Coturnix japonica: one gene and its partner. The protein of the gene in region 1 interacts with the protein of each later gene in a biochemical or structural test. Links are inferred from orthologs where the notes say so. Each region holds a gene or a part of one and is shown on either strand. Other genes may lie near its edges.

What was found. The genes of interacting proteins can lie anywhere in the genome.
Region 2: the proteins of SYTL4 (region 1) and RAB8A form a complex in vitro, tested with the Homo sapiens proteins (2 studies listed by BioGRID). The link is inferred for Coturnix japonica from reciprocal best matches to the Homo sapiens genes SYTL4 and RAB8A.

The regions. Positions count from the first base shown.
Region 1 is NC_029519.1:4,996,724-4,999,442, forward strand, and holds the end of SYTL4 (synaptotagmin-like protein 4), read left to right. Parts: intron 1-548; coding exon 549-654; intron 655-780; coding exon 781-880; intron 881-1,526; coding exon 1,527-1,735; intron 1,736-1,913; coding exon 1,914-2,056; 3' UTR 2,057-2,198; downstream 2,199-2,719. UniProt on the Homo sapiens protein: Modulates exocytosis of dense-core granules and secretion of hormones in the pancreas and the pituitary. Interacts with vesicles containing negatively charged phospholipids in a Ca(2+)-independent manner.
Region 2 is NC_029543.1:3,483,420-3,487,602, forward strand, and holds the start of RAB8A (ras-related protein Rab-8A), read right to left. Parts: upstream 2,845-4,183; 5' UTR 2,615-2,844; coding exon 2,491-2,614; intron 2,108-2,490; coding exon 2,047-2,107; intron 1,867-2,046; coding exon 1,806-1,866; intron 1,490-1,805; coding exon 1,412-1,489; intron 1,028-1,411; coding exon 938-1,027; intron 259-937; coding exon 193-258; intron 1-192. Other genes in the region: TPM4 (tropomyosin alpha-4 chain), read right to left, coding at 3,530-3,612, 4,069-4,138. UniProt on the Homo sapiens protein: The small GTPases Rab are key regulators of intracellular membrane trafficking, from the formation of transport vesicles to their fusion with membranes.

The DNA of each region.
Region 1 (2,719 bases):
CCTCAGTATATCCCCTGTGTGATACAGTGGGATGTTTTCCCTGCCCAGTCAGGTATTCTCATTTTGTGTGCTTCATTACTCCAAGACTGCAGCTCTTCCTGTCTCCCTCCCCCAATAAGCAAGAATGGGAGCCAACTTCAGGGAAACAAATAGGGGAAATTGGACTTGACATCCTGTCGTGGGCTGCAGAACAGTGCAGTGAGAGGATGTTGTGCAGCTGGATGGCAACAGCAGATGCTTTCTGTTGTGGATTTATTCGGGAGTCTGGTTCTCTCTGTGAGTTGCTGCTGCAGACTCAGCCTTTTGCATTGCTTGGGGCCCAAGCCTGCAGGTGCTGAGCTAAACAGAATTTCCTAAGAAATGTGGTTAAGGCGAAGTGCCATCCCAAAGAAGCCCCTGTGGGCAGTTGTGCTGGCTGAGCTATCTCGAGCAGAAACCAGACCTTTGGGCCAAGAGTGGGGAGTGGCTGCGTGTTGACCCAGCTGTCACTGTGTCTGTTCTGGCTGCTCCAGCAGTGATGTGTTAATCCAGCCATTGCTTCTTTGCAGACTGGGGTGGATGCTGCTGGCCTCCCCCAGTACAAAGGGGAGCTGGTGGTCTCCATGAAGTACATCCCATCTTCCAAGCACCCTGGGGCTGGAAATGGCAGAAAGGGTGAGTGCTGGAGCTCTGACAGCTCTGTGTAGCCTGGGGGCTATTCAGTGCCCCCTACAGACACGTTGGAAATTCCCAGTGGTGAAAATTGATTAAATCTTGCTATGTTGTTTTGGATTTTCTTAGGCAAAGCAGGAGAAGGTGGTGAGCTCCAGGTCTGGATCAAAGAAGCCAAGAACCTCACAGCTGCCAAATCAGGGGGCACGTCAGACAGCTTTGTGAAGGGGTGAGTGTGGGTACTGGAGTGGGAATTTAAGGGAGATGGAAGTGAAAGCTCTGCTCCCTACTTGCATTCCAGAGCATGTCCTGAACCAGAGTGGGGATCTGGGGAAGGGAAGTGTCCTGCATTTGTACCCCCTGCCCATCTGTCTGTTCATCTCTTAGTAGTGATGAATCCTGGTAACAAACACTTCTCTGGGTTTTGGCCAGCTGAGAGGAGCTGCTCAGGGACCAGGAGGGCTGTGGCCCATTACTCATGATTGCAGACTGTGCAGAGGGGTCCCCTGAGCTGGGGAGGTGGCTGTTCTCTTTCTGTAGAGGCCTGGCCCTTCTCTCAGGCTCAAAGCTGGGAGCCAGGACTGGCTGCTCAAGGAGATGCCCTCGAGTCATCTCAGAGGTCACCAAGCAGCTGTGACTTTGGCAGTGCTGGTGTGAGGGCAGTTGGTCTTTGGTGTCTCCTGTGTGCAGATTGCTTGCAGCCTCCTGGGCTTCTGGGAGACACCCACTTCTTTCCAGACCATCATGTCCCATCTTCTCAGTCCTGGTGGGGACAGGTGGGATCCAAGGCAGACATCAGACCAAGCTGCCTTAGCTTCCGAGGGAGAAGTTAGCTGCATGTGTGTTGCTAACTCCAGTGGGGATGCTTTCCCCAGCTACCTCCTGCCACATAAAAACAAGGCCTCCAAGAGGAAGACGCCTGTGGTGAAGAAGACCCTGAATCCTCATTATAACCATACCTTTGTCTACAATGGCATCAACCCTGAGGACCTGCAGCACATCTGCCTGGAGCTCACTGTCTGGGACCGGGAGCCTCTGTCCAGCAATGACTTCCTTGGAGGTGTTCGCCTGGGTGTGGGCAATGGTGAGGAGCTCTGGGGGCGAGGGGCTGAGGAAGGCTGTCACTGCGGTGGGAGAGGCCCCACATGGCTCCCAAACCCCTGGACAAGTGCTTTTGCCTGGAGTCGCCTCTCTGCTGCAGAGGTGCTGCTCCCATGCAGAAACAGGCTGTAACTAACTTATGCCCATCTCCTTTCTCCGAGGCATGAGCAACGGGCAGGCTGTGGACTGGATGGACTCCACGGGTGAGGAGCTGAACCTGTGGCAGAAGATGCGCCAGTACCCAGGCTCATGGGCAGAGGGGACACTCCAGCTCCGCTCCACCATGGCCAAGCTGAGGCCCTAGGCAGCAGAACAGGCACCAGGGCTCACCCTGGGGCTTGCACAGCTGCTGTGGAGCTGCACTCACAGCATGGCCAGATGAGTGCCAAACTTAATTATTATTTTTTTGCCTATATTTTAATAAACATGACCCTTCTTTAAACAGGCTTGGGCAGAAAGTCTTCTTGGCCTAGCTTCTCTTCAAGGGTTTTCCTTTTGTTTTAGGAAAACCAAATTTGGACCAAATGTAAGGCTGAACTTGAGCCCTTGTGGGACCTCCCTTCTTTACCCACAGGCACAATGCTTTGCAATGTGGTTAGGTTTCCTTTTTCCCCTCCAGTTCTCTCCCTCCCACCCTCTGTATTTCATAACCTGCTCCCTTATTGTCTCTTCCACCCTCCTCCCAAAGGACAGTGCTGGCTCTGGGACCCAGGGGCAGAGAATAGACCAGTTCGTGCCCCAGCTGTTCAGTCATAGGGAACACTGGTGGGGCCATGCTGAACTGACCTTTTTCTACAAATTTATTAATTTCAAGGTGATATTCTACTGCCAAAACATTTCCCAGGAAGGGTGCCACGATGCTGGGTGTAAGGAGAAGCAAGTAGATTATGAGCCTCTGTACTGGATGTCTGTTACTGTCTTTGCTGAGCATGGGGCCATTTGCTTCTAATGAAGGCGTTTGCTGGCT
Region 2 (4,183 bases), on another chromosome or scaffold:
AATAAGAAATACAGTTAATAAAACACAATCTTAACAGCTTTGTTTAACAATAATCTGCCCTTCTGACTGTAACAGCCCATATGAAGTATCAGCAGTTGAGTTCTGCACTCAGTCAGGATGGGCAACTGTTCTTACAGCTTATCTTCACGCGTTATAAGACAATAAATACAAGAGAAAGGTCGCAGTACTTACATTCTCTATGTTTATATTTGCTTTTGCACTGGTCTCCATGAATTTAATTCCAAAACTCGCTGCAAGCTGAACAAAAGCAGGTTCTGTGTTAGTCGGGTGGCTGCAGGAACAGCCATAAACATAACAGACAGCGCGGGATCTCCTCCACAAACCAGGAACTGAGCTGCATTGCTATCAGCATCTGTTCTTACTGGACTTTGTTCTTCTTTTTCATAGAACAAAACACACATTTTTGTCTGCTCCTTTGTCTTTAAATACATACATCTATTTCTAACAGATACCTTGTCAGTTCTGTAACGTCTGTGGTACATAAAAGTACATTCTCTACTTTAACTGACATCCGATGCCAGAAACAACAACCCTGCCTACCTGTGTATGACAAAAGCAGCCATTCCTAAATGATTTTCTTTCTTTGGCTGAGAACTCAGTTACTCCGCATCTAACATCTCAACCAGGTAACCCAGCTGCATTCTGAACAGACTCATCTTTTTGTTGGACTGCAGCTACAGCTTGGGAAGCGTTCGGTAGCTGCACTCAGAAGTTCCACTGAGGAGGCACACACAACGATGAGCGCTGCTGTTACACTGCAGCACAGGCTGCTTCTGCTCAGGCAGCAACTGCACTTTGCATCAGTGCTGGCAGGAAGGAGCTCAGCAGGCTCTGCAGACACTGATCACCCCAGGGAGCACTGACTTCTACGTACTGCCTTCACCTTCAGCATCTGGGCGCAGCCCGTGACACTTACCTTCTCCCCTTGCTCTCTAGAAACTTGTCTTTTGTCATTTGCATCACATTTGTTCCCAAGGATCATTTTTTCAACGTCCGGAGAGGCATGCTGAGATAGGAACAGAGGAAAGAAAGGACTGTGTTTATGTCTTACAAATACTGCCAAATGACGAGGTTTCCATCAAGAACTTCAAATGGATACATGGGTGCTGAGCACTCTGTAGGTTTCTGAGCTCCTGCACAGCACCTGATCCCAGCACTGCACTGCAGGCACCGACTGCTCTGTGAGCGCCCTGTGAACCATCAGCTCTGTGCCAGGAAAATCAAATCAAAAGCACACACTGCAAATTTGTTACCCACAGCATTCCCTGACTTTCATTTAATCTATTTTCTACCCACTCTAAATTTGAAAGAAGTGTTACTGAAGCATTTAATTTCCAACTGCTTTTGGAGGGAGAAACAGCACCTTGAATGTCAAGTAAAGAGAAGTTACCTCTTCAATGTTCCTGACCCAGTTCCGAATATTTTCAAAAGACTTTTCATTGGTGATGTCATAGACCAACATAATGCCCTGAGGAGGAAGGAGAGATACTTGTTTTGGCTATGATCATATATGCAACAGTTAAACCTGTCTGTAACAGAAAGGAGTGCCTTAAGGACTGATAAAGAAGAGCTGTTTCAGCACAACCCGGAACGTCAGCGCGTGTTGCCAGATGCAATGATGGGGTGTGAGCTCAGTGAGTCACTGCAGCCGTCTGCCCCGGGCCCTCCCAGCACCCAGCACAGCGCCGGCGCTCAGCCAAGTCCAGGCAGCTGTGCCTGCAGCACTGCAGGCTGCTCTGATACTGCTCTGCTGGGAGCCGAACCGCCCTGCGCCGCGCTCCTACCATGGCTCCCCTGTAGTACGCCGTCGTGATGGTGCGGAATCGCTCCTGCCCGGCGGTGTCCCTGCAACAGATGGAACGAGGGGTCACACACCTCCCACCTTAATGCTGTCAGACATTCATGTCACACGTTGGTCTTCACGTGCACTAAAACTGCTTTAGTTTAATGATACCGCTGAAGAGCACAACTGCACACAAAGTAACAGCACTGCACTGCAGCACCGACTGCATCAACGAGCCTCACCATATCTGCAGCTTGATCCTCTTGCCATCGAGCTCTATAGTCCTGATCTTAAAGTCAATGCCTGCAACGACAAACAACTCATTACATTTAACTTCTACAGAGGACAAACCAACGCTTTTCCCTCCGCTTCCCCCCGACCAGACTGTGCCGCACAGCGTCCCCACGGCCGGGACGGAACCGCGGCTCAGCGCCCGCAGCGCCCCGCGGGATCGGACCCGAACCGAGCGCAGCGACAAGGCCCGCAACGCACCGCCCGACAGCACCGCCACACAGACAGCACCGCCACACAGACAGCACCGCACCGACCGACGGCACCACACTGCACTGCACTACGGCACCGCACGGCCCGACGGCACCGCGGCGCGGCACGGCACGGCACGGCACAGCCCCGTCCCGGCCCGCAGCGCCCCCCGCGCTGTGTGCAGCCCCGGCCGCCCCGCGCACCGATGGTGGAGATGAAGGTGGCGTTGAACGCATCCTCGGAGAAGCGGAAGAGCACGCAGGTCTTGCCCACGCCCGAGTCGCCGATGAGCAGCAGCTTGAACAGGTAGTCGTACGTCTTCGCCATGTTCCCGGGCGCCGCCCCTGCGGCACCGCCCGCCCCCCGCGCCGCCTCACAGGCCGCGCCCGCCGCCCATCACGGCCCGCAGCGCGGCGATTGGCCGAGCGGAGCGTTACGTCACCGCCGACCCGGTGGGCGGGACCTCGAGCCGCCGCGCCATTGGACTCCGCTCGCGACGTAAGCGGCACCGCGATTGGCCGCGCGCTCCCGGCGCAACGTCACTTCCGGCCGCGAGCGGAAGGCGCCCGTCTCCGCGCGAGTAGAAGCCGGAGGGAGGGGACGGGGCGCGCGGGCAGCGTCACGTGGCCTGTCGGCTCGTGACGTCACCGAGAGGCGGCGCGGCGCAAGGAGCGGAGCGGCGGGAATGGCGGAACACGTGTAACACGTTTAATGCGCGACGCCACGTCCGGGATGAGCGGAACCGGGACGAGCGGCGGCAGAGCGCAGCGGTGACGCGATGAGGGCGGGTTTCGTCTTCCGGCCGCGGCGTTCCCCGGGTCATATACAGTTCAGTTCGTTTAGTGTCTGGTCCAGCGTCTGGTGCAGCCCCAGGTTCTCCTCCTTCGCTTGAGCGAGTTTGTCTGGAGGAAGGGAGCAAAAAAAAGGCGTAAAGCGGACAGTGCTGCGCTGCTGTGCCGTACAAACACCGCCCGATGCGCCGGAAACAACAGCGCTGTCGGGTTTGCGGTTGCTCCGGTTTTTCGGAGCTGCCCGGCGCCCCCCGCTGAGCACCGAGCGGTACTTACAGCGTCAGTACTGATAAGGAAACAAAGCCCCAAAGCGGACAGGTAAAGGCATCTGATCTTTATTGAGCGCAGTTCTTACAGAGCAGGCTGAAGGATGGATCGCTTTTAGCACAGAAGGAATTACAGGCAAGAAGAGCATAAGAGATACAGCAAACGGAGCACCGAGAGGTGCAGACTACAGGGAGGTCATGTCATTGAGCGCGTGGTCCAGCTCCTCGCTGATTGCTTTGTACTTCAGTTTCTGAGCATACAGCTCATCTACCAGGCAGAGGCACAGAGAACAGCGCAGGGGGAGAGGCGGACAGCAGAGGGCACGAGGACAGGCAGAAGGCAGCAACCAGAGCAGTTGGAGGGGGATACAAAAGAAAACAGAGCTATGATGGAGCAGCAGTGCGGAAGCAGAAATACAGAAATATGGGCAGCTGCCACGTCAGACACTTCATCTACAGATCTCAGTTATTTCTCAGCCATCGGGCTAAAGAGCATCACGACTTTGTTACTGATTGAAATGGGTCTTACGATTCTAAGCTTGTGAGCTGGCCCAACAAAAGTTCATTGTTCACAAGGATTTGATAGAGAACCCCTTCCAGAGCAATTCTTCCCTGGCCATGAGGCAGCACCAGCCCTGCACGGCCCGCCCGGACAGCCGGCACCTGGCTGTCCTTCCCCAGCAGAATACAAAACCCATTTGAAAAGGAATGTGTAATTTCGTACCTTCCAGATCATCAATGGACTTTTCCAGTTTGGCAACCGTTCTCTCAGCAAACTCAGCACGAGTTTCAGCCTAGGAATATTAAATAGAATAACTGAGCGCTGTTAAAAAACACCG